Neodiprion lecontei: one gene and its partner. The protein of the gene in region 2 interacts with the protein of the main gene of each other region in a biochemical or structural test. Links are inferred from orthologs where the notes say so. Each region holds a gene or a part of one and is shown on either strand. Other genes may lie near its edges.

What was found.
Region 1: of the proteins of serine/threonine-protein kinase greatwall (region 2) and alpha-endosulfine, one has a biochemical effect on the other in vitro, tested with the Drosophila melanogaster proteins (2 studies listed by BioGRID). The link is inferred for Neodiprion lecontei from reciprocal best matches to the Drosophila melanogaster genes gwl and endos.

What each region holds. Positions count from the first base shown.
Region 1 is NC_060266.1:17,445,101-17,449,032, forward strand, and holds the start of alpha-endosulfine, read right to left. Parts: upstream 2,784-3,932; 5' UTR 2,411-2,783; coding exon 2,357-2,410; intron 2,208-2,356; coding exon 2,088-2,207; intron 1-2,087.
Region 2 is NC_060260.1:38,953,393-38,957,324, reverse strand, and holds the start of serine/threonine-protein kinase greatwall, read right to left. Parts: upstream 2,883-3,932; 5' UTR 2,696-2,882; coding exon 2,504-2,695; intron 1,937-2,503; coding exon 1-1,936.

The DNA of each region.
Region 1 (3,932 bases), on a different chromosome or scaffold from region 2:
TTTTTAATACTGCCAACAATTCATATCAATTGATTATGAATTTGACAACTGTATTGCTCATTTAAATGTTCGTATGCACTGTTTTTGAAGTAAAAGTAACAAGTAAAAAAAGAAAAGCATGTGCGTTGTTAATAGTTTCAGTAAAACAAAGATTTAAATAAAAAAACTGATTTATCTTTTTAGAGAACATGTAATTGATCATAGAGTCGCAAAATTATTTACGTTTACCATGAACAATTATGTGTACAGAGAACTCTAGTCCGTAAATTGCAGGAAAAAAACCTGTGAGTTGATTGTCATCCCTTTAATAAAAAAAATCATTTTCTCTTGAACAAAAAAGCATTTCACAAAAGCATTTCACTAAGAGATTTTCACTAAAAATAAATTTAAGAATCAAAACAAAAATTTAGATAACAGAAATCAAATTCACAAAATTAGTCTATCCCCTGCACGGTGATACTGCTAAATCGTGACCGATTTAGTAATATTGTCAACGGAATTATGATTTTTTTGACAGATTTCTCAGAAATTTTTTACTGCAAATAACTTTACATAATCTCGACAAGCCTTGAAAACGGTGTCTGGCAGAAATATGTAACTTCTTGCAGCCTACGGATACATAACTCTAGAAAACAATTGGATTGTGAGATCCGATCGATCGTTTTTACATAGAACAGTCCACTGTGCATATCATTATCATTTGAATATATTTAAGCTAGACAGCGCACAGGAATTTGTATCCATTTCAAGGTTATAAACCTAACTTCTCTAAATGTTTAATTTACATTTATTGAATTTACATATTTTAGTTGGTCTTGTAAAAAAAAAACAAAAACTGGTGGTTTCGGTACAAATACAATTTTTACCAACCGTGAGCTACTAGATACGTTTTTAAGACCAAATCGCTTTTGTTCTGAGAAAACTTTGTTTAATCCCAGCTCTAAAAAATCCTGGATTAATTCTGCCTGCAGTCATTGATTGCATAACATGGACTAAAAAATAAAATGAAGCTCATTGTAAAGATATCTTGCACAGAATATGTTGGTACGAAGTAAAAAATTTGAATTCTAAATTGAAAACGTTTGGACTACTACACAGATACAACTGACTGCATGCGGAATTTTGAAATCTAGAATATAATTTTTTTTTAAATAATGTGTAATTAAAAGTTTTATAAGCGAATAGAAAGCACAGAACTGAAGTGAATGAACATCCTATAATAAAATAGTAAACTTGTTCCATAAATTGAACAGAATTCAAGACTATAAACATATCTATTACAAGATTTAAAACTTATGAAAGCCTGCTTATGATTCCTAGAGTCTGATGAATGCTTTTGGCAATAAGTACTAAGTATAGAATTGCATATTGAATATATCTCTGTGACGGAACAACCAATATTTATAGCTGCTTTCTGCTTTGCTCAGCGTTTCTGGCAACCTTATTGTTTAAAGTCAAATCTGAGAATGTAGAGAAATACAGTAAGATAAGAGCAATAAGAATAGATAACAATTACCGCCACTCACAATAAGAGATTGTTAAGAAGATTCACTAATTACGCTCAATTTTTGATGGCCAACAGCCTCCGTTAAAACAATCATAAGATTTGATAGGAAGGGAGCGTTGGCTACGATATGGCAAGTATAAAACTCACATAGGACAACGTAAAAAATATCCCAAGTATACAGTACTTTGGTATATTTAAATAGGATAATTCTAAACAATTTGTTACTTGTAATTTTATAAAAGTACTAGCTCCCAATGAGATATGAAAAAAGTTTGGTTATTAGGCTACACTGCCTTATTTTTATCGACATTGGTACATTTGGTTGTTACGTCTGCCTGCCTTCCTTATGGAGGGGCATTTATCGTCCACGTCCGTCTATTCTCGCTTAAAATTGGACTCAACTATTGCAGGTATTAAATTAAATAATCTCAGAAAAATTGTCTGTGATTATCTTTGCAAGTTTTATATATTTCTCTATTTTGGGGGAAAAGGCTATTACATGGCTTGAATCATGAAGATGAAACAAATATATGTCACATTATATAGTTGAGAATCTAGGTCATTTTGTAGTTATACTCACTCCTTTGGCTAATCTTTTCTGAAGAAACGCAGAATGACCGCTAATGGGGCGTCCGCCGGTATTTGGGAATTTGGCCCTAAGCTTGGCTTCTTCTATTTTTTCAATGTCATTTGACGACAACTGCAACAAGAACAAAGTGTCAATTACATATACCTATCCATCAACAGAATGGTAAAAGTTAACGGTTCAGCGATTAACATCAATACAGATTATGCTATATATATAATGTGACTGTGTACAAATTTTATTAAGAGTGAAGACGAACTTACCTCGATTGATTGAGTTGTTTCGTCTGTTTGTTCATCTTTCTGATTGTCGCACATCCTCGATTGTTTGTATATGTATGTTTACGTATAATTTATGTATTAACGCGGAGATGAAAAATATAAACGATGGAAAATAATATTTCGCGAAATATGATCCGTAATGTCGAAAAGAAGAACCAAACCTGTATAGTTAGTTCAACCAGCTTTTCGACTTCGGTATTGCGAGGTTACGAACGGTCGAAAGCCGATTAATATAAGGTTACTTTCGAATGGGGTTTTGGCTTTTATCACGTTAATTCACACAGGCAAGCTACGTTTTGACTCGGACAAATCTTCGAACTATTTATGAAGGCCAATGGATCAACAAATTCAGAAGTCAGTTACCAGTTCGGAACCACTGGTTAAGAGAGCGGGTTTAATTTGCCCGTATAAAGCCATGTTCACAGCGCATCGATTTCATGCATATCGTATAAGAAAGCAACCAATCAATGACAAGAGTTTGGGATATTCCTCTTGGAACCATCCACCCGATTGGTTGATCGTATTCATGACGGTGTAACATCCGACCGGAACGTTCGTATGTTTTATCGACTATTATTACTGCATATCACTTTTATCAACTAACCAAACTCGAAGTACGAGAATCTTGTAACCATAAGGTATTAAAACAACTGTCTAACTATTTGGAATATCCCTAGATGGAAACAATTATGACATTCACTAACCAAAGCTCAAAAACCATGTTACGAGATCGTTGCACTACAAAGAGCTATAATATTATTATACATTATTATATATCACTATATTAACACCATAATTAACTAACACCATTATATCCAATTATTATATAACACACAACAATGCCATTTGTGCATTCGAAACTGAGAGCTACACAATAAGCAACTTACGCTATACCATATAACCTGGAGTATAGAGGACTGTGAAACCATAGATAAATGTATAACCAATATAATGTAAAGATAGCACTGTTGCAATAATCCATTAAATCAGAGACTGTAAAACCTTCAAAACCGTGCATACCAATTATCCAGCATGAATCATACTTTGCTCCGTAACGCCGTATTGTAGGCAACACGCGCAGCGTTTTTGAAGACAATGCAGATCTCCAATGAGGAGCCATACAGAGCTCCATCTAGAGAACACATTAGGAAACTTAACGACGAAACGATTGAAGGTAAATCAACTCACATAAACTCAAAGATGCATACGTGGCAACGCCCAGTAACAGGCAACCAACAAACATGAGAAAAATGTTCTAAAAGCTTCTAAGCCGATTTATATCGATATAAGAATTTATAATTACAGAAGAGAATTATGTACGAAAGCACACATGTAAACCTGCTCTAAAACTACGAATTATCAAATTGTTAAATACCCTAAATTTGTTAAGATAGTTATAACACAAACACCTAAGAATATTCGCAGCAGCGCGATCCTAATAATGTTAAGCAAATAGCTACTATGTCTCATAAACAATCGCTGTTGTACTCCAGGTGAATAACGACAGTAATCAATTATAATACATATGCAATTTTATATATTTACACGCTATCAAACT
Region 2 (3,932 bases):
CTGGCTGTGGTATAAACGGTGGCGTCGCACTATGTGGTTTATCCCATGGAAAATCACTGAATAGAGTCATAGAACGAACCTCGACTGCTGAAGGTCTGGTTAATGGATCGAGAGTTAGCAGAGCATCGATGGCCTCCATTGCGGAAGCTGATAAGGCCTCATCCTCTGTTGGCCATGGAACGTCCCGAGCCAAAATATTGGTAAACACCGCCTGCGGTGTCTCGTCGTTGAAGGGTGGAATTCCAGTGCAGAATTCGTATAGGCAAACCCCAAGTGCCCACCAATCGACAGCTGAGCTGTGACCCTGCCTTAGAAGTAATTCAGGTGCCAAGTAATCTGGTGTGCCAAGAATACGGTCGTCTGACCGCGACGACAACTTTCCACCTCTCCTTACCGACTTTGGAGTTCTGTATGGCGTATGACTACCCACAGATGTCCCTGGGGTTTTAATAGGTGAGATACCTGGATGGTCGTCATCTGTACCAAGCTGTATGTCAGGTGCAGACCGAGACGTTGATTGTGGCAACTCAAACCTGGTTGTCTTGATTAAAATTGGTTTATCGCTCTCGCTTGCCTGCCGATGTTCTTCCAATTTAGGGTGCCGATGAGTATGATTATGATTGTGGTTCTGGAGGTGATCCCTGCCATTGCCATTGTCGTTGGATTCGTCATCTTGAGTTCGTCTCTGCTTTATGGAGGAGACTGGAGTACTGAATGCGACGCCTCCTCCGCTGCTGCCCGTCCCTTCGCCATTCGTTACCTTAGCAGTAGTAATTGCTGGATGTGGGGAGACGGCACGGGAAAATGACGTCCCTCGATTCTTCCTTTTGGGTGTCGAGTTGACCTCTAGACCAAGAAGATGAATTTCCTTGGTCAATCCTGTTGCTGCAGTAGCAGTGTTCCTCTTTCGCTTTGTTCCTCGGGTAAACGAGATCTGGCTACTGCTCAAAGGACTTGTGTGACTGAGTTGCTTATTAGGCCAATCAGCCTCTAGCGTTGAATCATCGTCTTCAGTCTCTCCCTTGCTGCTATTCACTTTAACAACCGAACTTGAAGCTTCACAGGTGTGAAAACTGCTACCAGTGCTGTTATCATCGCTCTCGCCTAGCCCCTTGGAGCTTGTACTGCTGTCCGTATTATTACCGTTGGCTAACCGAACATCTTCTGCAGATTGAAATAGTGTGATTCCAGAAACTTGGCAGTAGTCACCCGATGCCCCAATCGAAGATGTGAATGAACCGCAACATCGTCCACTAGTTTTTGAACTGTTATTACGAAGAATTTGGATAAGGTTGGTGGCTGGATTACTCCTCTGACTCGAATCCGAAATATTTGCCTCAAGGCTCGACTTCTGGCCTGATCCAAACGACAAGTGAGAGGTAAGCGACAGTAGCTGGCCAGGAGTTCTGGTAAGGAGACTAGGTGTGCAATTGACAAGATCAGATATCTCGAGGTCCCTCTGCATTGCAGGTATTCGACTAAGTCCAAAGTCCGTTAGTTTTACATGACCCTCACGGGACAGCAGCATATTGTCCGGCTTCAGATCTCTGTGCACGATACCATGGGAGTGAAGGTACTCCAGAGCAAGGCAGACTTCTGCCGTGTAAAATGCTGCCATGGATTCTTCCATGTAACCGCAATTCCCCAATAAACTCTTGAGGTCTCCACCCACCATGTACTCCATCACCAAATAAACACTGCTGATCGATTGCAGGGAATAAAACAGCTGAACGCAGTATGGGCTGCGTGTCAAAGCCAAAGCGTTTCTCTCAATAACTACCTGTGATGCCATGTTCTTATTTATCATTTCATTTTTCTTCATTACTTTTATGGCATACATTTGCTCTGGATTTGTCTTTTTGTAGCCTAAAAAGACTTTTCCAAATGCACCTCTACTGATTGGCTTGACAATTTTAAAATCCTGTATTTCCGGCACCTGAAATGAAATATTTTTCATAGTAGTTAGTGGTCTGTAATTAATATTTTTCATTGCGTCGAATGGAAATGCATTGAATATTAACTGGACTACAGGATGTACATAAGGATGTGGGTAATCGCAGAAGCAGTCCGATAAATCATTATCCCAAGTCTAGAGCAGTGGACAGTAGGAAAATAAATAGAGTCAAACGAAAATCAGCAAAAGGACAGCAACAAGCAGATTATATAGCAAAACTAATTTATAATAAGATCCCAATAAATTTAAGAGATAGCAGCATTCAGTCTTGGAAAACTGGCATAAAAAAATGAATATTTGATGTGTGATAAAGTATTGACACCTTATACTTAACATATTTACTACAAGATATGCAAATTGAAGATAACTAGACAATAATATAATTTAACAGTGAAGAGGATGAATAAACTCGAAGCTATAAACTATAACAAATTGTTTTCAACAAACTTTAGTTCCAATAATCCCTTAACATTAATTTAGTAACTATTTTTATATGGATACTTATTTAACTAGACCGTATGAGGTTTGATACATTCTTATGAATTTCACCTTGGCTGTGCAATTGACTATTTTTCCGATAGTATTGAAGATTGAATTATCTATTTGCTTGACATCTGACTGCGGCGTGAGCTCTCCAGGCCGTAACACCGATTCTTCGAGGGTACAGGAGCTCGAGGTTTCTGTGGTATCAATTTCGTCGCTGAACGGTTGACCCGGCATCTCTGTCGTCGAGTTTTCCATTTATTTACTCGGAAATGTACCGTAAAATAGGTCCAGCTACTGTTTGAATGACGTTAACTTGGTAATGTAACATATGTGGCATTTCTATGGAAAGAAAGCAAATCCTGACATCCTAACTGTGACAGTCAAGGTTCAATCATGACTAGAAGACACATCAAATTATCAACATAGTTCCGCAATTTGTTGATTTAACATCTGGAATACGCGGGTCAACGCGACGATCGGTTACAACCATAGAAGCATGAGGATAGAGTGTGACAGGCGGCTCTGAACGTACCCGCCCTTACAGAAAGAGATGTCTTGAAACCTGCCTTTATCCGTAGACTGGCGCATGCGCAGTCAAGAAAGTAACTTGTATATCGTCGTGTCTAACTAGTCAGCTGCGAAGGCAGACCATTTGATAATGTCTCGTTTTGTGAGACTCATACTTCGGAGGTTCTATTCTTTCGTGAACATAATTAAGATTTCTTACGTCCATGTGTGTGAAATATCCTATGAAGGATGTGTATGAAAACAGCCTTCGGTACGAGGGGCCGACCGAATATCAAATGTAGTCGATCAAGTTATCCATAACGTAGCTAAAAGTGAAAATTTAAACGAAGATATTAAACGAAGATATAAATCACGATTCCACAACTAATTACAAGCCATCCATGCATGTCATTGCTATTTGCTAAAAGGACCAACCACGATTACACAGGTCTGCAAGCAAAAAATTGCGCAGGCATTATTACACCATTTCTTATAGATTTTTACGCTCTGAAACCGGAAAAAACACTCAAAAAAATCCATCACGTCCAGTTTTTTCTTAAACTCGTCTTTGCAGTTTCAATTAGACTGAAACTCTCGTTTAACACGAAATCTAGAGACTAAAGAATAAATATAAACAGGAACAAAGAAAATGAAAAGCGGAAACCTGTTCAGAGAACTATCAAAAAGAAGAAGGAAGGGTTTCATAAGGAAAAAGAATGAACACGGAATGTTAAGTACATTTAAAAGAAGTATTGTTCAGGTGCATTGAAATGAAATGGTGGTTTTTTCATTATTCTTGTATGCTTTTGTATGCTAATACGTTGTATTTTGCAAAGATGGAGTGGAATGGAAGTAACTTTTGGATTTAGCACACTCGAAAACATAACATTTACCAAAAACATCACATGCAGCTGAAATAAACTATCTTTTTGCAGACCTGTGTTATCTGGCTACTTCATCGCCTCCAATGAATTTTTCTTTTCTG